Linked DNA regions of Oryzias latipes. The protein of the gene in region 2 interacts with the protein of the main gene of each other region in a pairwise test. Links are inferred from orthologs where the notes say so. Each region holds a gene or a part of one and is shown on either strand. Other genes may lie near its edges. The genes, in order: srgap2, disc1, nup160, rtraf, kifap3, immt and stx18.

Region 1 (4,256 bases), on a different chromosome or scaffold from region 2:
AAGGAGTGCATGTGTCTGTGCTTTAATGCTGTAGGGGAAAGAGAAGACGGCAATTTAAAGAGTATTTTAGACCTAACCTGTCAAGTACCGTATGTTTGGTTCATGAATACCCCCCCAGTCAGAGACGTCACAGCAGGTGTTTAAGTTAAAACCCACTGCGGCACCAGAGTCTGTGTTAAATCACCCCTTAAGGTTCCTCTTTTCTGCTTCATTTCATACACACTTGTCAAATGTTAGCCTCCAGGGCTCCTTGGATTGTCCTTTTCCCACTCTACCTGATGCACTCCTCCTCCGATGGGCTTTCCGATTCTTCGTTTTCACTGTCTTCTAGCTCGGGGAGATCTCCCCACAACAGCAGATTCAGACCTGCATAGAAATTTAAAGGAGACTTGGAGTAAATGTTGGAAAAAGAAAAAGAAAAAAAAAAAGTTTCCTTATAGGCGAGGACTGAATACCGACCCGTTGCATCCAGTCTGTTGAGTGTGGATACAGCGTCACTATTAAACATCCAGAAGTGGCCATTGTTACATGAGAGTAGGCATGGTTTACAGGGGGCCACGACGTGATAGCCCACAACGTTTCCACTGGGAACGGGAGACAAAAAAACCAAAAAAGTGATTCAGCAGTTTGCTGAAAAGTGCCAACTCCACCAGAACGTTTTTTGTTTTGAACTATAGAAACAATAGAAGCACTATAAAGCTGAGCTGCTGTGCAGAAAGTGAAGAAACATTCCGATTAGATAAATGACAGAAAATCCTTTAGAATCTGAAAAATAACATTATTAAGGGGGGATTCTTTGGGTAAAAAAAAATAAATACATAAAACTATATTTATTTTAAACATATAGGCTCAGAGAAAATTTTCTAGAAAAAAACCACATGTTCTATTACACTACAGCTCTTTTATAATCAATAACCTGTTTAATGATAACTAAAATGAAGCAAATTGTGATTTGTAATATTAAATAAGTGTGTCTCTGTTGTGCTAAAAGCTGTATGTGTCATTTTATGCCAACACAAACACACCTTTTCAGGTAAAGGAGATGTTTACATACCATTTCAGACATGCAATGTCTCTCAGTTTGCATTTGCAGCTGTCAGTGGAGTAGCAGCTGGCCACAAAGTCAACAGTTCTAGAGGAAAGGATGGGTTTCACAAAGACATGATCAAACGCACTCATACTTTCATGCAGCAATCCTGCTGAATATAGTTTTTTTTTTAATTGATGGTAAATCGACCCCAACCTGGCAACCACAACAGACATCAAAGCAGAGGCTGGCAGCACAGCTGACGGTTAGCGCCTACCTGTTTGGAGGTATATCCGTGGAAAAAAGCTCCACTTCGGTGTCTGCAAGCAGCACCGCCTTCATTCCTCTGGTGCACAGCAGGTTCTCACAGAATATACAGTTCACCTGGGCAACGCATTTGTTTTTAAAACTTGCGTTGGAAGTAGACATGGTAGTTTCTGTTACGAACGAACGCTCGGCCCTTTTGTTTGTTTTACCTACAGGCAGCAGGTAATCGAAACTATCGACTAGTACCTTGACGGTTGAATAACCATTCAGCTGTTAACTATTAAAATTTACTATGTTTGGATATTTCTGGCGTCCTTGTTTAATTGTTAGCTTTTTCGTAGCTGTAAACGGAAAGACTTTACTTTGGCTAACAGATCAGACAGATTAGCCGCGAAAGATTTCTAAAAAGGAATTTAGTTGGCGATGTTAAAACAATATTTCCGACATCTATAAAATAACCACCTGTTTAAAAAAAAAAAGCTCAACGCCCATTCAGAAGTGGTTAATCGCTAACTAAATAGCTGTCAGCTTTGTTTACAACTTCCTGGTATATAAGGCCACTTCCTGAAACAGTTTTAAAAGACCCGATACCTGTTTCTGATTGGATGCCTGGTTTGGTAGCTCGATGCTATTGGTTGTCTTTGACAAACAGTCTAAATGTGATTGGTCAAAGAATTTGAGTTGTAAGTCTTTCTCCCAATGAGATAAAACTGCCATCGGCACTTTGGGATTTTAACATGAATGGATTTTATGAAAAAAATTATTTTTATTTATCGTAGCAGAAGTGTGCATCTAATTTAGAAATATAAACACAAAACAATTTAGGAATGTTATTTTCTTCTTTTTGAGATGAAAAGCTTATCAAATTTAGCTACATTTAAACTGCAATGTTGGTAGTTTTTATGCCAAAACTACCAACATTGCAGTTTAAATGTCTCTGTTTGCAGGTTTATGTGCGCAGATGAGCAGCACACATGTCTGCATTGCCTGACCTGCGCACTGGCGCTGATCTGCAGCCATCCATTCCATCACCACTTGGTTTCCTCTTTCTCACTTCAGGAGAGGAACGAAGACAGCACTTCAGTTTGGACAAACGGAGGGGCTACAGCAGCGCGCAGTCTGGGAAAGTTTCAGAGAAAAGAGAACTTTGCCAAAGCTCTGGTGGATTTGGCCGCTAATATTTGTTTTGGGAAGGGAATGACTCTGTTTTCGCCCAAAATAGTTTGCACCACAACCGGTTTTGAGGAGGCGGCAAGGCGCGGCGGCGGATCCAGCAGCTGCAGCAGCAGCGCCAGGCTCACAATGCGTCCCGAGTGAGCCGAGCAGCCAGGGAGACAATACAGATTCACGGCGGGCTTCAGTCCTTCTCCTCCGTCTTTGAAACCAGTTCCAGGGTGGACACCCCTTAATCCGAGACTGATTTAGATTTTCCCCACCCTTGTCTGTGGAGTTGAGATAAAGCTGATCTCTCAACGACGACGACTGGTTCGATCTCCAAACTCAGCCATGACGTCTCCAGCTAAATTCCGAAAGGACAAGGAGATCGTGGCCGAATATGAAACTCAAGTCAAAGGTAAAACTTTTCCAAATGTTTCTCTGCGGGCAGCAGATCAATCGCCGGCGCGCTAAATCTTTTGTATCAGTGTTTTCCCCTGACTTTGATTGAATGTTCTCCTCACTTCTCCCCCCAAACGCACAAGTGTGACCTGCCTTTGTATTTTTACCAAGCATCTGAGGAGGCTAATTGTCATCAAGCCGCCAAACAGGTCATTAAATAAAAAAATAAAATGTGAACCATGGAAGAGATCTGCAGGAGGGCTTGACTGCTGGCGGCGCAAAGATAACAAAGGCATCGGAAAAACGCGCAGACAAATTGCGCGGTGATCTCCAGATGTTGCTCCAACAGTCTGGAAAGAGAAGAAGAAGCGTAGGTGGAGGTGGGTGAAGGAGTGTGTGAGAAGACACCCCGGGAAAATGGGGTTTCGACACGGAGCAGGGCAGGGCGTTTTCTTCCCCTGTCTCCTCCTGCGTGTCTGCATCATGTGCGTCATGCGCTCAGAACGCAACCAAATGATCAATTTTGCGTAAATGGGTTGCTAATTGATCACCGATGATCAGGCGATCATGTCTGATGATCAGGGGGGCAGATTGTGGATAGGAAGAGGGGCGTTCGTGAGTGTTTGGAGGCTGTTTGGTCTGGCAGGCACACTGGATCCATTTGTCAGCGTAAGTCTGAGTGCTTATCAGATCTGTGTGGTTATGTGGTTCATATGTCAAGCTGGTGAAGTAAAGGAAAGGGGGAGGTCAGTAGATTGTCCTCCTGCACACAGCATGTTCACTCTGCTACTAGAGGGCCAGATCATTTTGATAAGACTGTCTGCCTCTTTTCACCCCCATTTAGGAGCAATTCCTCGGCCCACTACTCACAAATTTGCAGCCCTCTGGCTCTCCTGGTCTCCCGTGGAGCAGCAAGTCACAAAGTGGTTTTTGAAACATCTCGGTTTTAATCGCCTCCCAACCTTATCTCCACGGAGGGGTGCAACGATTCATCAATTTAATCCAACCAAATCAATCTGTCTTAGGCGAGTTGTTAAAGTCCCAATCCGATCATCTTTTGTGGGCTTTTAGTTATGATGATGTTGTTTTTAACCCCTTCAAAAAACCTGTCATTTTTTGGGGACATAGTTTCTGCAGAGTACGCCTTCCCCCATTTCCCATCATCCCCTTGTTTACACTCTCCTGCTAGCTTACAGCCCCTCACAACCCTAAACTAACATTAGCCATGCAACAAAAATGAGCAATATCGAAGCTATTCCGCTGTACACTTTGGCGCCAGATGTCAGCTCGGATGAGGAAAACAAAGTTGTGCATGGATTTATTTGTCTGCAACTGGATGCATCAGAATGGAGCAGAGCAGAGGGATTGTTCAATTGTAGCTTCAACATCACAGCTGTAAGCTTTT
Region 2 (4,127 bases):
CCTGCGTCTGCAGCACTTGTGTCTGCAGCAGCACCTGTGTCTGCAGCAGCACCTGTATCTGCAGCAGCACCTGTGTCTGCAGCAGCACCTGTGTCTGCAGCAGCGCCTGCGTCTGCAGCAGCGCCTGTGTCTGCAGCAGCAGCGTCTGCAGCAGCAGCGTCTGCAGACGCACCTGTGTGCAGCAGCACCTGTGTCTGCAGCAGCGCCTGCGTCTGCAGCAGCACCTGTGTCTGCAGCACCTGTGTCTGCAGCAGCACCTGCATCTGCAGCAGCGCCTGCGTCTGCAGCACTTGTGTCTGCAGCAGCACCTGTGTCTGCAGCAGCACCTGTGTCTGCAGCAGCACCTGTGTCTGCAGCAGCGCCTGCGTCTGCAGCAGCGCCTGCGTCTGCAGCAGCGCCTGCGTCTGCAGCAGCGCCTGTGTCTGCAGCAGCAGCGTCTGCAGCAGCACCTGTGTCTGCAACAGCGCCTACGTCTGCAGCAGCGCCTGCGTCTGCAGCACTTGTGTCTGCAGCAGCACCTGTGTCTGCAGCAGCACCTGTGCCTGCAGCAGCACCTGTGTCTGCAGCATCAACGTCTACAGCAGCAGCAGCGTCTTCAGCAGCGCCTGCGTCTGCAGCAGCACCTGTGTCTGCAGCACCTGTGTCTGCAGCACCTGTGTCTGCAGCAGCACCTGCATCTGCAGCAGCGCCTGCGTCTGCAGCACTTGTGTCTGCAGCAGCACCTGTGTCTGCAGCAGCACCTGTGTCTGCAGCAGCACCTGTGTCTGCAGCAGCGCCTGCGTCTGCAGCAGCACCTGTGTCTGCAGCAGCAGCGTCTGCAGCAGCACCTGTGTCTGCAGCAGCAGCGTCTGCAGCAGCACCTGTGTCTGCAGCAGCGCCTACGTCTGCAGCAGCGCCTGCGTCTGCAGCAGTGCCTGCAGCAGCACCTGTGTCTGCAGCATCAACGTCTACAGCAGCAGCAGCGTCTTCAGCAGCGCCTGCGTCTGCAGCAGTGCCTGCAGCAGCAGCGTCTGCGTCTGCAGCAGACTCGGCAGCTTTCACATATCAGGTGGGTTTGGTTGAAACAAGAACATATTATCGTCTGTGTACATGGAGCAGATTCATCATAGAAACATCTTTCATGTGAATTAGTCACTGATGGGCGTCATAGCCTGAACTAGGTCACATTTACTCTATTACATTCACTTCAGTTACTTTTTTGAAGTAATTGAAAATTTAAAGAGCAGTTTTATTGCACTAAACCTGTTACATTCACTTCTATCGACGCTTAATGAAAAACTGGAATTCTATAAAATGAAACGTTTCTCTCTTTTTTAAAACAAACATTTCTTTGAAGTGTTTTTTATTTAATTTAATATTTGTCCTTTTCATGATTTACAGATTTCTTTATTGCATTGGATTTTAATAACTACAATCCAGAATTCTTATTTAGATTATTTATGCAAAACTGAATGAACAGTACTGAGTTAAATAAGTTTTATACTGAAAACTGTCACTCGTTTGTTCTTTTTCTAAATTTTTGTATTTATTTTACTTTTAATGAATGAATACTTTGTACTTAAACTTTCATAGTACATTTCCTAAACTGTGAATTGTTCCCTGCTCCTCGCGCCTTTCTTTCTTGGCCTGTCAGCGGTCCAATAGTTTGGCTGTCATGGAGCCGGAACCTCTCTGCGCTTCTCAAACTCTGCTAGAAACTCTGATGACAGAAGAAATGCTTCACGTGGGAAGAAATCCTTGTTTCTACTCCTAGTTTTGAAACATCTGTCAGGTTCTTCATTCGGACGCAGCTGTTCCAGAGAGATCCGGCTAGCCTTGTCAGAACCGGGCAGGTTTTAGCGGACCCCCCTTCTCCATATTTACCTCCTGTGGCTTCGAATCGGTGGAGCGCCGATCTGCTGCGGTTTTGCAGTCCCATCAGTCCCGCAAACATGCCGTCGGTCGCGTTTCGGTGTCGGATCCCTGCGCGCGCGCAGCGACCATGTTTCAGAAAAAGCGCAGCGGGGAGAAAAGGCCTGATCTCATTTCCGTTACGGACCGTGAACTTGTGTTGGTTTTCCTTGATTCCGGTGGATCACATGAACGCGGCTTCAGTCCTAAAATGACACCGACTGTCCAGCGGTTGAACATCCGGTCTGATTCTGAACTTTATTCTCTGGAGAGAAGCCCGTTTGGAGCGGCGCGTCAACAGATGGTTGGATTAAAAAAAAAGAACTAGGATAATCCTCTTCTGATGTTCTTCAAACCGCGGAAATAAAACAACTGAAAACTTCAAATTAAGGCGTTTTCTGTTCAGAGTGGAGAAACAAATGCGGAAAGTCCATCGATCAGGAAAGGAACCCGTTAGCCGTGCGTCATGCGTCCTGAGGAGCTCCTACGTGTTCAGGAATTTGACTCCTTCAGACCGCCTCATGAAGGCGGTGGACAGCCCATAACCGGATTAACCGCCGCCGTTTGTCTTTGTTTGGGGACCCGATCAGCTGACGGACATGTGGAGATGTTCCGCCCGCTGTTTTCAAACATTTAGGGGCCAAAATGCTCTTTGAACGCACTTATGAGAGTTCAGCGCGCCTTGCTCATGCTAAAACAACCCCATTGTTTCTGCACTGACTGGGGGAGTCTTCATCTTCCTCCTCCTCCTCCTCACACTTCTCCAAAGCTCCTTTCATTCAGCTCTGCTCGCTGATAAACTGGAGTCCTTTGGTCCAGGGAGGAGGGGTTCTGGCTCCTCCAGGCTGGGATCTGGATCTGGTTTTGGCTCAGAAACCAGCCTGGCGGCCAGGAAAAGAGGAAGGATCAGACTTTCCTTCAGTATAATCTGAGCAGTTGTCCTGAAGGTGTCAAAAACTGCCTCCGTGCAGAAAAGATGGATTGAAAACTTGATGGAAATATTTTCTGTTCCATTTAATCATTTCGTTATTGAGTTGATTCACCACCAGAGCAGAAAGGGGTTGTTTTTCTTCTCTCTCCTTCTAAAAGTTCTCTCAGTTAAAGTAGATACGGTCCTTTATATGAACACTTCTTTAAGCTCTGGAGTTGTTGGGTCTGCTTTAAAACTTGCTGTGGTGAAGCCTCTTCTTTGAAAAAAACACTCACTTCAACACCTGTTTTATCTCATTTTAGACCAGTTTCCCATTTGTCTTTAGCAGAAAGTCTTTTTTTTTTACTGAAGTCATGTTTTTTTCTCCCATTTAGTCCTGCAGAGACTGTTTTTATTTTTTATTCAACTCTGGCAATAAAAAAAGACAAAAACAAACTTTATCTGAACACTAACAAACAAACGTTTTTTGCAGCTAAGACAAAAAATGAAAATGTATTGTAAATCGTTTGACAAACTGTACTTTAATTTTTTGTAAAATAAGGATAAAATGTCTCAATTGTTTTTGTTTATAGCAAAAAAAAGCCTTTTATTTTATGTCAGATTTTTTGTATGGGCTGATTATGAAGTTTGTACAACTCTTAAAATAAAACATTTCTTTTACTTCTTTATTAATCCCATTCATTTTTTTTTTAAATAGCACAACAGCTTCATGAAGAAACTTCTCAAGACAAAAAAAATGACGCCTGACATTTTCCTACGCGCTTAAACAAACATATGTATTCATGAAGAATTCCAGTAAACTTGAACTTATCCTAGTTTGACCAGCAGATGTCAGGCTTAACCTCAGATTCAAGCTTCAGCAGTTTATACTTTTCTCATTTTGTATTTTTTTATTTTATTTTATTTTACCCCAATGACAAAGTTCTCCAGGGCAGGAAGTTTATTTTTAATTTCTCTTATTTTTTTAATTTCATTTTTTGAAATTCCATGTTTCCAATGAACACTTTTTCTTAAATATTTATAGTTCTACAAATGGCCACTAGGTGGCAGAATGGTCCTGCTCTGATAGATGACAGATTTCACTTGTGGGCCACACAGGGTTTTAAAATGTGACATGAGGACGAGCGTGGATCAATCCAGCACAAAAGAGAAAGATCTAACAGGCAATTTTGATGGAAAAAAATGGCTTTATGCTTTAAAAAAAAAGAGAACATTTCAGAGTTTTTAAATGACAAAACTGTGACTTTTGTTTTTATTTTTAGTGCCAGTTGCTCCAATGGGAAAAAGGCAAAATGAGAGAAATGCT
Region 3 (3,441 bases), on a different chromosome or scaffold from region 2:
CAGTCAGCTGGGACTCTGGAAGGACGGGGGTGAGGGTGGAGCGTGCTCCACCTGTGGGTTCTGACCTTATTGTAGTACTGCATTCTGGGTGGAGCTTCCTCATCCTCGCTCGCCACCAGCTTCATCAGGAAGTCCTCTTTCTCCACCTCGGAGGCCGCTTCCTGGAAACACTGCAGGGCCTGGACAAGAGACAGGAAGTGAAGTAGCGGGACGTCCCAGCAGGTCGCGGGTCTTCATCACGCTAAGACTCACCTTCTGCCCCTCCCCATTGGCCAGGTAACACTGACCCAGAACAAAGCGGCAGGAGCCCACGTTCACCTGACACCAGGGGCTGATCAGCCTCACGTACTCCTGCACACACGCACATACAGGTGTGTGCACGTGCACACAAAGTGTTAAGCAGCTCCTCCCCATGGTTCAGGTGTGCACTCACCTGCAACTGCAGGTACTGACAGCCAGCCAGCAGGCACTCAGGGAACTGGAAACCAGGGTTACTGGGCCAACTGGGAGACAGCTGTTAAGACCAGTGACAGACTGCTGTGCACACGCATGCACACGCACTTGACATCGTGTCATGAAAAACCAGATTAAAGCAGACAGGAAGGATACAGCAGCTGAGCCAGCAGCTGGACCACGCTGGAGATGACTGTGCTCCAGAGGAGCAGGGAGGGGATCTGCTGATGGGAAAACATCTGAGAGACTACCAGCTTCCTGCCTGCAGTCCGGTAGAAGAGCTCCACCACTGTCTGAGGACAGAGGCCTGTGGGGAAGGAGATCAGGATCAACTCCAGGAGGAGGTGAAACAGCCCCACTGGGTCTGAGTGAAGGCCTCACAGCAGGAGGTGAGCAGCTCAAACCGGTCCATGACAGCTTCTCCATCATCACAGCCGTATTTTAAGGCCCCCACCAGCAATTACTTTACATTTGAAGTACAAAATGAACAGGATTCTAAGTGATGGGGGGAGGGCTCGCTGCCTGAGGTTGACCACAGGACGGTTTCAGTGGGATGAAAGGGTCCGGGCTCACATTCATGCAGCTGCTTCAATCCAACACTGACGCTGCAGGCACTCAAACATGCTCAGACTCTGTCAGCGCTCCACAGTGTGTGTGTGCGTGCGTCTGTGTGTACATGCGTGTGTCTGACCCAGTCGGCCGCAGCAGATGCTCGGTGTGTCCGTCAGTTCCAGGGCTGTGAGGTTCTGTAAGTTCACGTCTCTGAAACGGATCACAGAAGAACTATCATTTCCAGCACCGTGGTCCTCCTTGGGATAAGGATAAGGCCCCACCCACAAACACCTGATATGAAGCATTGGTATCCCTGTAGACACAGCCAACCAGCTACAGCCTCCACCTTAATGATCAGACCATTGACTGTATAACTGGACTGAGTGAGCCCTCCCCCATGGCGTTTCAAACAGGAAGTACCTGCTGGTTCCAAGAAACCAAAATCCCATAGAGAGATAAACAGCTGTTATTCTACTGGTCAGAAGAACTATTCTTGATCTGACACCTTTTTCTAACATGATCCTCATTTTTTATTATCATTTTCTTTATTACGAGGTATTTAAGTAATAAACTGACCGATCAGATGCCTCAATAAAAGCATGTCCAGGATTTACATTTGATTTCCTTTTTTTCAAGTGGTAGGGGTGTGGATGTCCAACAAGCTCACTCCTGATTGGTAAGAAAAGAAACGGCTGACTCAGACCAATCACTGCTCTCTGATGTTGGCTGTCACCAACATGGTGCCGTTCATATGGCCAGAAGTGAACCACTTTCTATGGGTGACGTCCCACTCACTCAGTCCAGTTCTCAGGAACAATCAATGGCTCATACTCACATTGTGTCCATGGCAACAGAGGAGGCCAGGCTGCAGCTGACATGTTTGAGTAGGTGATAGGAGGAGAGAAGGTGGGACGTCCGGGGGATCAGATCCTGCTGGAGCTGCAGCAGCTGGTTCCCTCCTCCAAGAAAAACCTGGACAGACAAGAGAGAGCATGAAGAAGTGCAGCACAAGAAACGCTTCCTCCAGTCATCCATTCTCCTTCTGCAGTGGCTCTTGAAGTGCTGAACATACATTGTCTCCAAAGTGCAGGTAGAGCTTCTGCAGGATGAGGAGGTCTCTGCAGAACATGGCCCGGGTCATGGCCATGTGACAAACAGCCTGACCCAAGAGAGACACGGCGGTGCTGCTGCTGTACAGACGAGACAGGCTGAGCCTGGAGCTCAGGGTCTGATCTGCAAGACGCAGCACAGGGTTAACACAAGCCAGCTCCAATGTACAGCAAAATTCATCCACAAGTGCTTCATAGAAAAGGACATATTAAATGTTGCAGGCCGTGGTGCAGAGGTAGAGCGGTGAACTTTTGATCAGAGGATTGCAGGTTCAGTTCCCGCTTGTATTAAAGACCCCAAACCCCACACATTGCTTCAGGTAGTTATAGGTTGGCGCCAGTTTGGTGTGTGAAAGAGACGCATTCTGGGCCTCAAAGCAACACAGAAAAGGACTGTACAAGTATGAGCCATTTAGCATTTCAAATGTACACTGGTCCCTCACAATATCGCAGTTCACCTTTCGTAGTCTTGCAGTTTTCCTGATCTTTTTTTTAACAGTGCATTTTGTTCTGCGTCCTGATTGGCTGTGACTCACTGTCAATCAACATCTGTGTTGTGTTTCTTGAACAGAAAGAGTTCAGCTTGCAAAAAGGCTTTTGTTTTCTTTCTATACTGGACTAAATTTTCAATCAAGGTTTTCAATTTTGAGGTTTAAACAACAAAAAAGTGTAAAAAAATGTCCGTCTAAGAAAAGTGGGTTATTTTTAAAACAAAACTGCCGGGAAAAACGAGGGAGCACTGTCATGTAAAACCAGATTAAAATAAAGGGTTCAGGTGTCAGACTCTGATCTAGAAAGAACAGTTTGTGTTCTGGATCTGAACATTGCTGGAGTAGAAATTTGTCCAAAATCATCAGGAAGAATGTTGCAGATGGCGGCGGCAGCGGCAGGTCTGACCCTGATCTTATCAAAGTCCAGCTGCTTCATGTGGACCAACATGTTACAGCAGTCTAATCCACGGGGAGGGGGTGACTGAGTCTATCTAGGTCTGGTTCAGGCAGAACATCTTTGATTCCCTTATGAGTGGATGGAGTGGTGGAGTCGTCTTACCAGGCATTGCAGATCCTTCCCCTCCAAGCTCCAAATCTGTTTCCAGTTCCAGTTCCCTGAGCAGAACCATCATGGCTGTTGTCGGATTCCGCACATCCTGCATTATGCTCTGGATATCGGCGATTGCATTCTTGCTGCAGCAGAATAAGACAAATGTGTAAATTCAGTGTGAACGTGCTCTCATGACTGAAGAAATGAGACTCTGCACAGACAGGTTTGCACACTAGAAAAGTCAAAAAACTCATTTCTGTCACTGGAAAATTTCTGCTAACCTGAT
Region 4 (3,981 bases), on a different chromosome or scaffold from region 2:
CTTTAGTTAACTAACACGGTAGCCCCTAAACGTGCATCTACGACATAGACTTTTCACTGCAAGTGGTAGCTTGAAGGCGCGTTGCCGAGGGCGACGTAAACATAGCTGAACACTAAGGCCACCATTTACCTCCTTGCTCTGGTTGGCTTTGGTGATCGCCTCTGGAGACAATCGCTCCTGGATCAGAATGCGAATGGCCTGAGAATGGGAAAACAACACAAACAAAAAAAAGGCAAAAACTTGAGATAAATTAAGGATAAATCATTTCAAACTTGACTCAAATGGGGAATGAACCCTCTCTTCATTCCACCTTAAGCATGACCAGGTAATCGTCGTGTCGCTGGATCTTCAGGATGTTGGCCAGAGCCGTAACTCCTGCCTTGAAATCCGGAGAATTACCTGGAAAAAGAATGTGACAAAATGTAAAAAAAATATAACATAAAAAGTTTTCCAGTAGCAGAAGTGAAAACAGAGACTTACTGTCGAGGTTGAGGAGCGGATCCACCGCTTTGTCGCTGTTCCCGGACGCCAGCGGCTGACAGTTCCTGTACTTTTCAACTGATAAAATAAATCAACAACAAAAACGGTGATCCAACTTCTGCCCCCTGACGACCACAGAAAGTGGTGAATTATTTCAAAATGTAGCCAAGATTTTCACCTTGTGAGCCTGCAGTAACTGCAGACTACAAGACATGTCTAGAGTGATCTCAGTTTGGTGTTTTTTGTCTTATTTGACAGCAAAAACAGGGGGAAAATGAAAAAAAACATAAATTATTTGCAAATTATGTGCTTTATTGTTGCCCACAAACAGTTCTTCCTTCCGCAATTCCTCATTCTTGCAGAAGCTGACATGTTTGGGGCAGCAGCTCCACCTAGTGTCAAAACTAAGATATTTAATACAGGAGTTTTGTCTGGTGAAATAAAAAAGCTCTTTAAACAGAAATATACAATAATATGAAGTTAATGTAGTACCCAAGGTTGCCACTGGGGGACTGGTTCCAGAAACAAATTGATCCCTTTTCACTTCTAGTGTCTGCTAATATTTATGGCTAATATTTACTCATTTTATTGATGCATTTCTCTATAGACCTCATTTGATTGTTTTTTAAAAGTATTTGCAATCAAAACGGGGTGTTTACCCTGTAATTTCTCAACCCTTAAAGGGCCTTACTGAGCGCGCTCCAACAACTACCAACGTCCAACGTTCAGAATAATTCATTTTGTGGGCGAATTTGATGCTGCAGAGCTGAAAAGTTGGCAACAAAGTATCCCAGAAGAAAACCAAAAACACACACACACAGGGGTGATGCTAAATACTCCCCCACAGAGCTATAGTGTGTAACTTGGAAAAACATATACAAAACTTCACATTAGTTTCTTTTTACAACTGTTTAAAAAAACAAAATAAAACAAAAACGCTAAAAATAATCTAAAAGGGTTTAGAGAGACACAAAAATATGTGTCATTGCACTTGTTCAAAAACAATGATTGATGTTTCAGTATAAAGCTACCGCAAATCTTGTGGTCAACAGTCCAAGCAATATTTCCTCCTTTTATTTTGAAAAGGTGAGGGAATTAAGTCATTAGCAACTTACTATTTTATGGTAAATGTTCAGAATTAAATTTTTTCCGGGTTTTGCGTGATGCAGCTTCTTTTGTATTTTGTTTGTATAAAGAAGAGCAAAGAAAAAAGGGGTAGAGGGGATGATTTTAGGGTAACAGCAGTATCTCCCCTTCTTTGTTTTGAAAATAATTACTGGCTTAATCGCCCCTATTTTGGAGGGACTTCTGAATCAGACTAGTTGAATTTCCTTTTACTATCTCCATCTAGTGGTCATTGTTGAGTACTGCACCCCCCCACAAATGCTCCTGCCACTGCTGAATCTCACCGTTATCTCCATACTCGTATCGCACAGCCAGGCCAAGTAACCAGTCCACAGCTTCTTTCCTCTCCTCTGCGCCAAACGGACAGTTCAGGTCCTGCAGATACTGCACACACACACACAGTCAGAACCCCGAAGGTTCGGGTGGGGGGACGCTGCAGCACAGCAGACACTCACTTTCTGAAAGGCGTTGGACCAGTCCGAGCTGGGGATGTTCCTCAAGTTACCTCGGTCCTCTATCTTGTAGTGTCGGATCTTCTGGTCTTCCAGCCACACGATGCAGTTCCTGAACTGAGTCTCATCTGCAGATCATGTAGAAGCACTGCAGTCATCTGGTCAAAGTTCAACCTGGTTTACTTTGAAATGCGCATTAAGTACTAGTAGCTATGGGTTTTGGGTGTAGTTGGACACAGAGCCTGAAAACAATTGTATAAACTAGCATAGTGATGCACGAACGCAAACGTTTTAGAAAAACTAGCAAGCAGCTAAAAAAAAAGTTATAATTTCTTCAATTAAGTAGATCAAATCATGAAGCTGTCTACGCCGAATTAATTATGGTACAGTAAACTTTCTAAACTATAAATAGAACGACATTTGAATCTTTCTTGTTGCTATTTTGAACACATAACTTATAAAGTTGCTATTTTTAGAAGGGTAGTTTTAGTTCGGCTCCACAATAATGACAACGTCAGCTGGAAACGGGTGAATTTCTCCCCCCTTCGCCGTATTTAAACGTTTTCTTACCCGAACAATCGAATCCGTCGGGGTCGTGATAATCCAGAGCAGTGAGTTTTCTACGAAACATTTCACCTTGGAGATTTTCTGATAGAGAAAACGTGTTTTCACGCCGCAGCAAAGCTAACTACGCTAGTTTGCTGCTAGCTGACTGTTTGAGAATCTACGCATGCGCGACCGGAGACTGCAATCTGTAGGCCTACCTTTCAAAATAAAGTGACGAACTATTTTAGTGACCAAGAAAGAAAAAACAAAAGGGTGAATTTTTGAAATGAAAAGTCTTTATTGAACACAAGTTTTTTTTTATTAGAAAATGACACAAAACTACTGAAGACACAAATGAAATAGAGTTGTCAATCAAAGCACATATTTAGGTGAGCATGGGTTCAGAAAGGACGCATTCGTGGGCCAAGAGGCGGGGCTCTGTTGGGAGGCGTGATGGCGATATCCAGGTAATCCCCAATCTGGAACCGCTGAGACTGCAAGGTCATGGAGTCATCTGGACCCTTTCTGCCAGATATCGTACTGCCGATCTCTTTGAACCTACAGAACAAAACAGGTTCAATCAAAGCAAAAAACCAATTCACAGCTGTTTACGACAATTATACGTACTTGTACATTTTCCCTCTGAGATCAGGGAAGACTATAGCGAAGCTAAAGTGGGTCCCCTTTTTTCTGGCCTCTGGATAAACCTCCTTCACTAAACTGGTGAGTTCTTTCAGAGTGGCATCCATCCTGGCCAAAAAAAAAAAAAAAATGAAAGAAATAGACTCACTTTAGATTTCATTTGGACTCTTGGGTTAAAGTACCAGGAAGTCGGAACCAGTTACGTACCACGTGTAAATCTGCAGTTCACTTGAGGGAACATTTCCTCGAGCGAATTCGTCTACTCTGTGGTGGCGGCCGCTGTTGGTGGTAAAAACTCGCAGCAGAAGAGGGCAGGTCTGCAAAAAAGAATACAGGCATTACATTTAAACAGTAACTGAAATACTGGGTCCAAAGACCTTTTTTAAATGCTTTTATTTTGCAAGTGAAACGGAAGTGTACTGTGTGCCAGCTGCTGAATTCTATTAGACTGCCTGCCCCTCGCGCTATATTGATACATTTAAAACCACTGCATGTGATAAATGTATTGTACTGCATTTTTAAGTAAATAATTTACAATTATTTTACAATCCAAGTGGTTCCAGTTCAATGTCGTAGTATCGACTTTAGTCTCAGCGAGGGAGGGTGGGGAAGGGGGGGTTGAGGTTCTAGAACCCACTGATCCAAAGTTCGGGAAACCCGATTAAACAGGTTCGACCAAAAAGCACATGAATAAAGCCTCCCTTCAGAACATAAGCCCACGCGACCCAAATGTAGG
Region 5 (4,132 bases), on a different chromosome or scaffold from region 2:
GGTAGTAGAGGAGCTGCTCCACTTGTGGCAAACGGGAGGCAGGGAGGAGTTTGCACTCCTCCACCACTTTCTTAGCCAACGCTGCCACATCTGTGGTAGGAGAGAGGCTCTTCAAACGGATTCTAAATGGAGAGAAGGGCAAACATTGAAGCATCACAAATAACTGACTCCATCTATTATTTCCATTTGGAGAATGTAGAGGCTGATGCATTTAGAAGTAGCTAATTTTTCATTGTTAATCATTGCAAAAATGTATAACAATGCTAATCCAGTTTTGGTGGATACAACTTTTAAACAAATCCAAACTAACTTAACAAGTTAATCAATCCGTTTGATTTAAATATAGGAAAGATAACAAGAAACATACATTTTTTGTCCTTCTTTGCGTTCACCAAGCACAGGACCTCCACCACCTCCTAAGACAGCAGCCTGAACCTCGTAGTGAACAACCAGAGCCTTCTCTGTGGGATGGACATCCAGACTCCCTAACGTCACTTTGCTGGGGATCAAAATTGAACAAATATGAGGTCAAAATGTTAACAGTCTAAAATGTCTTGTGAAAAAAACAAACACATAATTATAATCTTTAATGACAGAGAACAAATAAACTCATCATCCTCTCCCTCCCTCTCACTCATGGTGCAGAGACTTAACCATAGTAGGACATAATAACTAGGCAAAACACAGTAAAACAGCTAAACAAATAAACAGCCTTGGTCAAAAACCCACACTTAAAACCAAATCCGTCCAGACAGGCAAAGGAAATGGTATCCCACAATCCCTTGCGGTGCCGCTCTAACAGCAGCATCAAAGTTACATCTACTTAATTGAATTAAATTGAATGAAAGTAAAATAAAAGTCTGATAACTACGTGTTATTTTTAAGCAGCCTTAACTAAAAAAAAGATTTATCTTAACTGAAGCAAATAATTAAGTTAGATCAATGTAAAAAAGTTTATCTTTCCTTTTTTATTAATTTCATTTCATTGTTTTTTTTCCAGTCTTGGATTGTTATTTTATTGCTATTTTTTATTATTGCTGCTTTCTTGCACTGTCATGCTAGTGAGAAACAACATCTCGTCTCATCTGTGTATTTCTCTGCAAATACTATATGTGGAATGACAATAAAACAAATCATGAATCTTGAACATCCATACATGGTCTTATCGCCCTCTCATGGTGGAAAAAGTATTATCTGAGCTTCTTCATCCACTAAATCATCTTCAAATGGACTCGCCATGCTCCTTCACCTCTCTGAAAACAAAGTAACCTTCAACTAAACCAGCTCCAGACCAGGTTATGTTCAGAGCAAGAGTTGCTATGGCAACTTGACATACCCTGAAACATACCTCCATTTTTGGAACTGAAAGATGAGGTTATCCGCTTCCTTAGCCTCAAACTTACCGTGGTAACTCGCATAACCTGCTTTCTGGAATGCCCCCCTTCACTGCTCAGTACCAGGTGCTTCTCTCTGAGTCACACTGGTTGAAATGTTAGCTGAAGATGTTCTGGATTGATTTTAGGTCAGTGAATAACATTGAATCAAATTGTTCAAAATGAAGCCAAATTGAAATCGATTGGCAAAAATACCGAATCGAATTGTTCAAATGAATCGTTACACCCCTAGTAGGTAGAGAGCCCTGCGAACAGAAACACAAACCGGGCGGGGTGAGTGTGGTAGTAGTGGATGGATCCACTGCAGTTCCACTGCAGGGAGACTGAAGGGAGATGGTTCCAAATGATCATTGAAAAAAGACTTGAACCATTAGCATGCCACCTTGATCCATCGCTCGGCCAACAGGAAAGTTGCTGACCCCAGCTGGGCAGTGATACTTTCCAGACCCAATTATCCAAAACTCCAATGTTTTACTTTGTGTTTCCTGTGGAACCACTGTTTCATGTGGCTGTTGCTGTTCCACTTTGGCAGTGGGGATAGCAGGACGGGCCATGATACCACGGCCTGGGTCTTATTTTGTATCTGCAAAGCCATGTGTCGTTATTTACTGCCCCTCCCAATATGATGATGTCAATCTTGTCGTACATTGCTGGACAACGGGAAAAGGATGGCCTATTGGAATCTCCATCGTCGACGTGTATCACAAACACTCGCGGACGCTGACTGTCTTATGACTGAAAACCAACAACCAGCTGTTGAAGCAGTAAAACAATACATATTATCTGTTGCCGTTTAAACTAGTCTCTCCATGTTTAGCTCATTAGCTAGGCTAGCAACCCCCTGATTTCCCATAAGCCCCTTCATTAAAAAAAAAAACCCTCAGGTAACAATTTAACATGCGTTTTGTTGTTGTTTTGTGCAAAGCAGCGACAGTCATCTTTAATTGCGAGATGTGGTGTACATTTAACAAAAAGAAAGCAAATAAATAACAGCACGCCTTTCTCTCCGTACCCATTAAGCAAAATATAAACGTGTTTGCTAGGCTATAGTCTTTCGTGAAGTGACGACTCTTGCGAATTACAAAAAACAAATACTTGCTGATATAATTAATCAATCACTTTTTCATTTAAATATTACAGAGCTCGTCTTCTTTCTTCTAGGCCTTGGTCGATGATCGATCGACAAAAAATAACTCATTCATTCTAACTCACCGTTTGAGGCAGCGCGTGTCTTCCTGCATTTTCTTGTAAATGTTAATTTACCCTTTTATTATTTCTATAGTTGTATCACATCTGATTGAGCTTACTCCGAAATCACAGCGGTTGCCCGTCACAGACTGTCAATGATAGCGGCAGTTAATACAATAATACAAAGCTAGAGGGTTAGCCGTCGGTGGGCAAATGGTGCCCTGAGTTATAACTTACAGGGGGAATGTAGACCCTAAGTAATGACTTTAAGGCAACATTTCAAATCCAAATCCTCACAGCTGGAAAAGAAATACGATCAGAAGCAGAAAGTAATGTGTAATAATACAATTTACACATACAATTGTATAGGGCACAGTTTAATGTCCACAACACAACTTGAGTCAGTAAAGGAGAGCTTTTTAAAATAATTCGAGCCGCTGTCGCAAATTTAATTGTAAGATACAATACTTTGTTCAGTCTCATTAAATCCCCCCTATATGTTATACTGTGCTTTGATAGATAGATAGATAGATAGATAGATAGATAGATAGATAGATAGATAGATAGATAGATAGATAGATAGATAGATAGATAGATAGATAGATAGATAGATAGATAGATAGATAGATAGATAGATAGATAGATAGATAGATAGATAGATAGATAGATAGATCTTTATCATTAATTGTCATACCTTAAAAACAACCCATGGTAAAGACCTACCACTTAAAATAAAAAGTAAAACATAGAAGTACATTGGGCAGTGCTTAAAACTTGAAATTAAACCAATTTGTTGCTTTATATGGACTACTGCTAAAAAAAAACATGATAGTCAATATGTGTTAAACTCAGATAATAATAATAATAATAATAATAATAATAATGAAGAAGAAAATGTCCGTTGTATCACAATTTAGCGGAAGTCCAGCTTAAATGTTTCCTAGCCACATTTAACATTTTTATGGATTATGTAAAAACTGTATTAGAGTCTTTTTGTCCTTACTCTGCTTGACCCATATATTTTTGGCACAAACAGAACTTAATATGTCTGGGGTGTGATGTGTCTCTAAAGATATTCTGCGCTCTGTTGAGGCAGCTGGAGCTGTGGAGAGTTTCCAGGTGGGGAGAGAGCAGTCAACAATCTTTTGGGCGGTGCTGATGACCGTTGGAGAGCTTTTCTTTGAGCCCCTGTGCAGCTGCTGAACCAAGTGCACATGTTCCAACCAAGTTCCTCCTTTTGTTCCAGATATACCACAAGCTCCTAAAGTGACAGTGACCTGAGGCTGTGGAGTCACAAGTGGCTCTTTAAAGCCTCTATTGTGGCTCTTTGGTTGAAGAAAAATAAAACTATTTTAATTTTAAAAAGGAATATACTTTTCAGACTATAAGACTCATTAAGCTAAACTAAACATGCAGACAAGTCCCACTTGATTGTTATAGGGCTTTTTGTCCTTTTAGCGAGCACCGATTAATGATTTGACTAGTTTTGGTATGAAAAAGTGAGAAAAAAGACAAAAAGAATCATCCCTCCACACAATGCCACACAGAAA
Region 6 (3,500 bases), on a different chromosome or scaffold from region 2:
ATTAGCAGCCTGATGGGTAAGAGTGACGTGAACGACGCGTTAACTTCTGCGCGTGTGAAAACAGAGATGCAACGCAGACTGCCAGAAAGAATCAGATAAAGCCTCTTAGGCAAATTCACCTCCGTCACGCTGCTTAATCACATGTTTCTGGAAAATACTGGCATATTTGGGGTTTTTTTGTTAATTTTTCAAGCTCTGGGGACAGTTAAAGCACCAGAGCGGTTTGGAAAGTATTGGTCAGTACCAGATAACCAGTATTCATCCCTACTCAAACCGTACAATCAGGGAGGGATGGTGTGGACAAAAAAAAAAAAAAAAAAAATCAAAGACAATATTCTCCACAAATCTTAAGATCTGCTTCTTCTACTTCTTATACGTTTATGGTTTACTTTATTTTGTTGATTGATGATGATGAAGAGCTGCTAATGTCTTCATGGACTGGCCAGTCTCTGAGCTCTTAGCCCTTGTGCTATCCGTCTTGTGGGACAGATAGCACAAGGGCTAGTCCAACGCGCCCCGTAGGGCTGATGTCCCTGTCCAGTGTGATTCAGTGCGAACACCTGCTCAGCTTCAGCTCGCAGCTCCTGCTCCTGGACCTTCAGCACATCTCGGACGTGGTCCGTGTGAGCCGCCGCTTGACGCCGCAGCTGAGTCCTCATCTCCGCCTCCATCACCTCCCTCACTTCGTTCATCTGCACACAGACAAATACGCCTCATCGGCATCACAGTTCATCTGGTCGGCACCCTGCCAACACAGCAGGGGCTGCAGTCCCCGCTGGGTCCACCTGGTGGTGCTGTTGCACTCCGAGAAGACGACTGCACTTCACCGTCTTCCTTTTATCCTGAACTCTTAGTTTGTTCTGAGGCATGTTCACACAGACCGTCTATAGATTTAAGGACGTAAAATTGACAACTTCCAATCTCCCCATTTTTTTACGTCAATCTGAATTCAACTTAAGACGTTATGTACAAAGAAACTGCTCATTATGAGTACAAATCCATACCTTTGTGCAAACATGGAATAATGAGAGAGCGCTCTCACGCTGCTCACCTCTATGAACACAGCCAGTTAATTAAAAAGAGCAGAGAGAAATATTGCTTTATTCTGAAAAAAAGGAGGGATTTGTTTTTTTGGTTTATGGCTACTGAGTTCTGGATTCTTGATTCTGTATGGTTTTTTTTAATACCACATTCTTATTTGATGTCTGCAGTGGTGGTCAGATGACCATCAGACATGTCTTTCCATAAAGCCTTCTGCTCTTCAGCAGAAGCTCCTGTTTCACTCCGGGGTCTGGTGGAAAAAGGCAGAACGTTGTCAAATCTGGGACTGAATCCCAGATGCATAAAAAGTCTGAAAAATCATTTCTCAAAGCAGAACTGTGACGCGCCTCAGCAGTAAACTCAGGGGTGTGGCTCACAGGCTACAGGTTGTGAAGCGCCGCTCTGGTGCTGCTTTTCAGAGCTGAGATTCTCCCATCTGTCTCTTCTAGACTGTCTGCTGGGTTTTGTTCACATGTGAAGAACAGAAGTCCTAAAAACAGGAGCTGCAGCTCCTCATCCATCACTCATCCCAAAGAGAAGATTACAAGCTGCAGAAACACATTTTCTATCATTCAAAACGCTGATAAAGGAGTATTTACTGATACTTTTTCTATTTGCTTCTGATGGATGACCTTTGTTGATCTTATAAACCGGATCCATGTTGTCCTGATGTTAGTTCATGATGGATCTTAATTGTTTTCTAACAGCACTTTTCTTCCACCACAGTGGTTTGGGTGTGACAACAAGAACTAAGGAGGTTTTCTGCAGCCAGATCTTCTTCTTCATGCTCGCCCTTGAAGTCTTTGATCTCAAAAAGCAGGAGGCACCTCTTGTTTTTTTTAAAATGACCAAACTGATGAAAGGATCTTCTAAACCTAACTGCAGCACGGGTCTGGATGTAGGCGCTCGTGTGTGTGTGGCGTGGCGGAGGCTCAGCATCAGGCGCCGCAGCTTCAAACCTTTCTTTCTTGCTCCAGCCGGGCCTCCTCCTTCACGTGCTGCAGTGAGGAGCTGACGGCCCTCTCCAGCACTCTCTGGTCCTCCAGCTTCTGCTGCTGCAGAGCCGCATCGATGTGGACCTGCTCCCGGACTCTCTGCTCTGCCAGCTCTCGGTTCAGCTGGTCGATCCGGCGGTGAGCGTGGGCAATCAGGGCGTTCAGGTCGTCCGTGGACAGCTTCCCCGCTAACAAAAACACACAAAATGGTTCAGTTCCTTATTCTACAACCATTCAGCTGGTTTAGTCTGCCGGGTTTTTGTGGTACTAAGATGTCCAAGTTAGAGGATGAAGGTGAGTCTGACTCACTGAGGCCTTTCCAGTTGGCTTGGATCTCTGGAGTCAGGCTGCTGACCTCCTTCTGGAACTGCTGCTTGGCTTCCTGGACCAGGTCACTGTACTGGGACACGATCTTGGACTCCACCTCAGCCGACTGCACCTGCATACAGATCCTTTCTATCACCATCATTGTCCTGGAGACGGCTTCTTAAGTGAGGCTGAAGAATGACCACTGCTTCTGGGATCAACACCTCCCAACATCTGTGAGCAGCTGAAAGCAGGGCGTTCCCCCCGTTTGGGCCTGACTCTGCCTGAAGATCTGCTGGATTTGTGAACCATGAGGAGAAATCTGCATCCAACTTACACCCAAAAGTAAGGCGCTCTTTGACATACCATGGCTCTTCAAACTCTATGAGGAAAACGTGCGATTTGTTCCATTTAACTACTAACTTAAATATGAGTCAACATGACTTCAATTATACTCCAAATGAAACTAGTCTACATGGGAGGCGGGTATCTAACTTAAAAAGCGTCCATCTGATTGGTCAAATGCATAAAGGGATTTATTTGATCCGTTGAATACTTCAAGCTGCCATAAGATTGTTTTAGCACGTTTAAGGTAACCATTTATTGCGTATTGCAAAGATTGATATCGCAATAACGATACATTTGCGATTTATTGTGCGACCTAATAATTAGGATTTTGACATGTTGGCATTAAGCCCTTTTTTTTTAACTGGATGGACTGATGTGGAGCTGGTCATTGTGGCTCAGACGCACCTCCGGCTCTCTGTCTCCACCACTGTCAAACTCAAACTCAGAGAGAAAAGCCTTGTGCTGTGGAGACGCTCTGGAGGGTGTACGGATGTGCTGAACGTACAGAAAACTCTCTCCAAATAGTAGTGGGCATCTCGGTCCTCTGCATGTCCCTCTACTGGTAACTAGCAAAGTCGCTTTTAACTCGCTACCATAAATGTTATTGTTCATATTTATTTGACGGGGAGAAATACAAAAAACACAGATCATTGCATTGAGACAATCTGATGCCGGCGTTCAAACGTCTCCCTCCTCTCCTCAGCGAAACACCAGACATAAAGCCCCCGCCCCCAACAGGCCGCCTTCAGCAGCTCTCTGCCATTCACGGCCCAAGAGACGGCGTTTGATTGCTTAACTAGTCCAACTATT
Region 7 (4,074 bases), on a different chromosome or scaffold from region 2:
GTATTTAATGCCGCTACAAAAGTACACGACCAAAACGTGGCTGGTGCAGATCTTCTCATGTCGTCTTCAGGCTGATGGTTGGTGACATTTAAGATTTTACTCCCCCGTGGGAAATGTGAAAGTGGTTCTTCAAGGTTTTATTTGAAGACATCTGCTTAAGTCAGATAAATAACTGCTGGGGCAGAGCAAAGGCCGTGTTGCCCTGTGAAAAACGGGTGCACACTGATGTCTTCTAAACTCTTCACCAAAAACTAGTCTTTATCGGAATATTAATCTATAGCTGGAAATTTGGAGAAAAGTTTATGTTCAGCATGCTGTCAACTTCCTCCGCCTTCTGTGTTCTTTACTGACCTACACCAAGTCTAGAACATCCAGAATTTGGATTCAAAGACCCATAACTCTGAAGATGGTTATCACACCGAACGCAATTATAATGGGGGCGACATACAATGTTAAGCCAATGTACAGACTTGATCTGAGGTCCGGCAGCGTGATTGTAGCGTCAGGCGCAGCGAGGCAGACCGGCAGCAGTGCGTTTTGAGTGTCGCAGCACGATTTGGGTGTTGTGGCGCATCCAGAGTAAAAAAAAAAATCTGACTTTTGGCGAGGTTGAGGTGTCACTTCACCCATTTGATGTGTTAAGGGGTGGAGTAAAAATCCACTGTGGAGGATCGGTCCAAGCGGCCTTGTCCTGATCTACCATCCATTTGCTTATCACGCTACATCGCTTTTGGGGCTGCAGGGTTGCCAGAGCACATTCTGGTTATTGTTGGGCTAAGGTGAGGCACACCCTGGACAGGTTGCCAGTCTGTTGCAGGGCCCATGGGGCTGAAGTGACCCCACCCACTGCACCGACCCCCAGGAGGCTGACGGGGGGGCAGATGAGAGAGCAGCCGCAGCTGCTCAGGCCTTCTGAAATTTATGATATTTTATTTATTTGCTTTAAGAAAATAATAGCGCTCTTGCCTCACAGCAAGAAGTCCTGGTTCAAGTCCCGGCTGGGGGACCAGAAACAGAACACCAATGGGGGACCTTTCTGTGTAGAGTTTGCATGTTCTCCCCGTGCATGTGTGGGTTTTCTCCGGGGACTCTGGCTTCCTCCCGCCATCTAAAAACATGCTTAATTGGTCCCTCCAAATTGTCCATAGGTGTGAACGTGCGTGTGCATGGGTGAGTGGTTGAGGCCCTGTGACAGACTGGCGACCTGTCCAGGGTGTCCTCTGCCTTCGGCCGCAAGACGCCGGGATAGGCTCTGGCAGCCCCGTGACCCCGAAAGGGATCAAACAGATTAGAAGATGAATGAATGCATTGAGAAAATAATTTTTAATAAATTCCGTCTCAGATTTTTTCGTAAGGGAAAGTCAAAATTAGCTCTTTTTTATGACTCTTTTAAAGCTGAAGTAGACAAGCTTGATATTCAACGATGTCGACTGTTAACTGTCCACATGGGAAAAGCAGCAGACATGCAGGTAGCGAAAGGGAGAAGATTCTTCTTCTTCTTCTGCGTATTTACTGTTGTCTACCACCTGTAATAGGAAGAGGCTCAGTGTGCAAAGTGAAAGCTGTGAAAATCCCGCAAATCTTGCTCCAGACGTTTTGTTTTCACAGCTTTGTTCCTGTAAATGTCCGTCTTGGAGTCCGAACACAAACCGCAAATATTATTGTCTCCTTCGAAATCATGTTTACAACGGTTGGTACTTCCGTGGCGGACGCCACCCTCATGTCACTACTAAATCCGAGTCTCAGATTGGTTGCAGGACTGCGATTAAGTGTAAAATTGTTTAACCAGTTGAATTTCCAGTAGTGAGCATGGTGACCGAATTGCTTTGAAAATTCAGGTCACTATATAGTTTTGCAGTAGTTAGGGGTTAGGGTGGGAATTCGGACACAAACACTGTGTTGGTGCGTTCATTGCAGGAAATTATTTTATTGTTGCAGGTGTTAATGATTTCAAGCTCCCATAAGGAAACAAATGTAAACATTTATTTGTTATTTGAATGCAACAAAATGACTAATCGTCCTCTGAAACATTAGATTTTCCACTTTTATCAATCATCATAACAGGCATACAGGTACACAGATATGTATTTAAAATTAATTACATGTATATAATTGATGAAGATTTCAAATTAATATTATTTTATATGAAATCTGTATCTTAGCTATAGTATTTTTTACAGGGTAGTTAGTCTGTTAATAACATCAATCAATCGCTCAAGATTTTTTTTTCAACTACGTTCATCTAAAAAACGTGTAGTCTTTTAGGGAAAAACTAGTGCTACATTCATTAATGCTCACATTTCCAGTAATTGCACAGCAAAGTCTGTAGATTAAAAAAAATTAGGTCAAGTTTATGTTTTTTATGAGGTATTAATTTAAAAGCAGCAACTTTTTTAAAATTAAACAGTTGGGGTACTAAACGACTTAAAAACAGCCAACAATGGTTGTACTTATACGTTTTTAAAAGAAAAAGTAGTGGTGTGTACATTTGTCATATAAAAGGCAATGTTTGTAGAGAAGTTTTATCGTTTCAAATGAGCTAGCATCATCATCATCATCATCATGCTATCGCTAGCTAAGAGGAGCACTCACCACTTCTTTCGCTCTCTGGGTGAAGCCGCTCTTCGTTCTGCTTCTTTTGAAAATCTCATCTTTCGTCGAGTCGAACCCGATCCCTATCGCCTTGTTTCTGGTCTTCACTGTCTTCACGCTGGCTTTAAAAAGCAGAGTGATGTCCACAGCCATTTCTGTGCACGCGCCGCTGTCAACAAGGCGACACGTCATCGACCGGTGACGTCATCAACATGAGACGCCGCAGCGGATTTTTCCCTCAAAGGGGAAAAAGGAAAAGCCTTAAACAGGTTTGCACCGATTAGGATTTGATTTCCCATTAAATCAACACGGAACTTAACCAAAACTCAACATTTGACTGTTTCACTTTGAATTAGGTTGTATATAATGGAAAAACAATAACAGAAAAGGACTAATCTGAAATTATAGGGTTTTAGAAGCGTTAAGGGGAATATCATTTTGAGAAAAATCTAAGGGTTTTCATGAGTTTCTATTTTGTTTAATACGTTCTATTAATGGTTGTTTTATGTGTTTTCCTCGCAGACAAATGCCTCCACAGCCAGTGAAGGGCTCCACCAGCAGAAAGAGAAGACCCAACTGGACTGACCCGGAATGCCTTCTTCTGGCTCAGTTAATACAGAAAAAGCAGAACATAGTCAGAGGAAAGCAAAGCACCGGAGTATCGGTTCAAGACAAGAGGCATGCCTGGAAGGAGATAGTCCAAGCTATTAATGATGCTTTTCCACAGGTCCAGCGCACAGTTTCCGACTGCAACAAAAAGTGGGAAAACCTCCTTGCGAAGGCAAGGGAGGAGATAAAACGACAGAGTAACAAAGGTCAGGAAACATGCATTTTCTTTTTTAAGTTTAGTAACATTGTGCATTTCTGACTAATAGCAAACTTTTGTTTTTTTAATGTTGCAGAAGAAGAGATGTTATTTGAGAAACTTAGTGCCGTGACACAGATAGTTATTTCTGTGTTGAACATCTCGGAGAAGAAGATGCAGGAACAGAAGAAACTTCGTGACGCAGATCCAGCGGAAAATCCAGAAAACAGGCAACACTTTTTCCCCCCCCTATTTCTTTAAGGATGAAAATCATGTTTGTGCGAGTTTTTTACATGTTCTTGTGGTATTTTTTTCATGATGGAGGACATACAGTGGGGCAAAAAAAAAAAGTATTCAGTCAGCCACCAATTGTGCAAGTTCTCCTACTTAGAAAGATGAGAGATGCATCCACTTGGAGATAAATATATCCATGTACGTCCAAGCCGGAATCTGGCTCAAAACTGTACGACTGTTAGGTTGGGGGTGTGAGGGGCTGTAAGCTAGCAAAAGAGTGTGTAAACAAAGGTGTGATGGGAAGGGGAATTTCAAATTAACTCATGCTGCTCTGCAGAAACTATGTCCTAGTCAACGACACACGTTTTCTGATTTAGGCTAAAAACGGCAAAATCATAATTAATAGATAATAACGCTATGAAAATAGATCAAAAGAGGATTGG

The links.
Region 1: the proteins of disc1 (region 2) and srgap2 interact in a two-hybrid assay, tested with the Homo sapiens proteins (2 studies listed by BioGRID and IntAct). The link is inferred for Oryzias latipes from reciprocal best matches to the Homo sapiens genes DISC1 and SRGAP2.
Region 3: the proteins of disc1 (region 2) and nup160 interact in binary tests that used the Homo sapiens proteins (3 or more experiments, as listed by UniProt). The link is inferred for Oryzias latipes from reciprocal best matches to the Homo sapiens genes DISC1 and NUP160.
Region 4: the proteins of disc1 (region 2) and rtraf interact in a two-hybrid assay, tested with the Homo sapiens proteins (2 studies listed by BioGRID and IntAct). The link is inferred for Oryzias latipes from reciprocal best matches to the Homo sapiens genes DISC1 and RTRAF.
Region 5: the proteins of disc1 (region 2) and kifap3 interact in a two-hybrid assay, tested with the Homo sapiens proteins (2 studies listed by BioGRID and IntAct). The link is inferred for Oryzias latipes from reciprocal best matches to the Homo sapiens genes DISC1 and KIFAP3.
Region 6: the proteins of disc1 (region 2) and immt interact in binary tests that used the Homo sapiens proteins (3 or more experiments, as listed by UniProt). The link is inferred for Oryzias latipes from reciprocal best matches to the Homo sapiens genes DISC1 and IMMT.
Region 7: the proteins of disc1 (region 2) and stx18 interact in a two-hybrid assay, tested with the Homo sapiens proteins (2 studies listed by BioGRID and IntAct). The link is inferred for Oryzias latipes from reciprocal best matches to the Homo sapiens genes DISC1 and STX18.

Annotation. Positions count from the first base shown.
Region 1 is NC_019863.2:28,127,926-28,132,181, reverse strand, and holds the start of srgap2 (SLIT-ROBO Rho GTPase-activating protein 2), read left to right. Parts: upstream 1-1,456; 5' UTR 1,457-1,516; exon of another isoform or gene 1,517-2,343; intron 2,344-2,353; 5' UTR 2,354-2,800; coding exon 2,801-2,867; intron 2,868-4,256. Other genes in the region: protein FAM72A, read right to left, coding at 272-366, 460-584, 1,055-1,132, 1,305-1,456. UniProt on the Homo sapiens protein: Postsynaptic RAC1 GTPase activating protein (GAP) that plays a key role in neuronal morphogenesis and migration mainly during development of the cerebral cortex. Regulates excitatory and inhibitory synapse maturation and density in cortical pyramidal neurons.
Region 2 is NC_019873.2:28,410,448-28,414,574, reverse strand, and holds the start of disc1 (disrupted in schizophrenia 1 protein), read right to left. Parts: upstream 2,801-4,127; 5' UTR 1,934-2,800; coding exon 1,864-1,933; intron 1-1,863. UniProt on the Homo sapiens protein: Involved in the regulation of multiple aspects of embryonic and adult neurogenesis. Required for neural progenitor proliferation in the ventrical/subventrical zone during embryonic brain development and in the adult dentate gyrus of the hippocampus.
Region 3 is NC_019864.2:4,341,703-4,345,143, reverse strand, and holds part of nup160 (nuclear pore complex protein Nup160), read right to left. Parts: intron 3,299-3,441; coding exon 3,165-3,298; intron 2,239-3,164; coding exon 2,078-2,238; intron 1,978-2,077; coding exon 1,841-1,977; intron 1,216-1,840; coding exon 1,145-1,215; intron 761-1,144; coding exon 610-760; intron 504-609; coding exon 434-503; intron 352-433; coding exon 253-351; intron 180-252; coding exon 66-179; intron 1-65. UniProt on the Homo sapiens protein: Functions as a component of the nuclear pore complex (NPC). Involved in poly(A)+ RNA transport.
Region 4 is NC_019860.2:16,861,878-16,865,858, reverse strand, and holds the start of rtraf (RNA transcription, translation and transport factor protein), read right to left. Parts: upstream 2,801-3,981; 5' UTR 2,689-2,800; coding exon 2,628-2,688; intron 2,186-2,627; coding exon 2,061-2,185; intron 1,990-2,060; coding exon 1,890-1,989; intron 559-1,889; coding exon 481-558; intron 400-480; coding exon 311-399; intron 199-310; coding exon 130-198; intron 1-129. Other genes in the region: histone deacetylase complex subunit SAP18, read right to left, coding at 3,005-3,161, 3,231-3,353, 3,453-3,562. UniProt on the Homo sapiens protein: RNA-binding protein involved in modulation of mRNA transcription by Polymerase II. Component of the tRNA-splicing ligase complex and is required for tRNA ligation.
Region 5 is NC_019875.2:21,195,307-21,199,438, forward strand, and holds the start of kifap3 (kinesin-associated protein 3), read right to left. Parts: upstream 2,801-4,132; 5' UTR 2,636-2,800; coding exon 2,607-2,635; intron 500-2,606; coding exon 368-499; intron 123-367; coding exon 1-122. UniProt on the Homo sapiens protein: Involved in tethering the chromosomes to the spindle pole and in chromosome movement. Binds to the tail domain of the KIF3A/KIF3B heterodimer to form a heterotrimeric KIF3 complex and may regulate the membrane binding of this complex.
Region 6 is NC_019868.2:4,714,172-4,717,671, reverse strand, and holds part of immt (MICOS complex subunit MIC60), read right to left. Parts: intron 2,476-3,500; coding exon 2,346-2,475; intron 2,225-2,345; coding exon 2,001-2,224; intron 693-2,000; coding exon 561-692; intron 1-560. UniProt on the Homo sapiens protein: Component of the MICOS complex, a large protein complex of the mitochondrial inner membrane that plays crucial roles in the maintenance of crista junctions, inner membrane architecture, and formation of contact sites to the outer membrane.
Region 7 is NC_019863.2:30,760,718-30,764,791, reverse strand, and holds the start of stx18 (syntaxin-18), read right to left. Parts: upstream 2,801-4,074; 5' UTR 2,785-2,800; coding exon 2,593-2,784; intron 1-2,592. Other genes in the region: uncharacterized protein LOC101155681, read left to right, coding at 3,119-3,407, 3,495-3,627. UniProt on the Homo sapiens protein: Syntaxin that may be involved in targeting and fusion of Golgi-derived retrograde transport vesicles with the ER.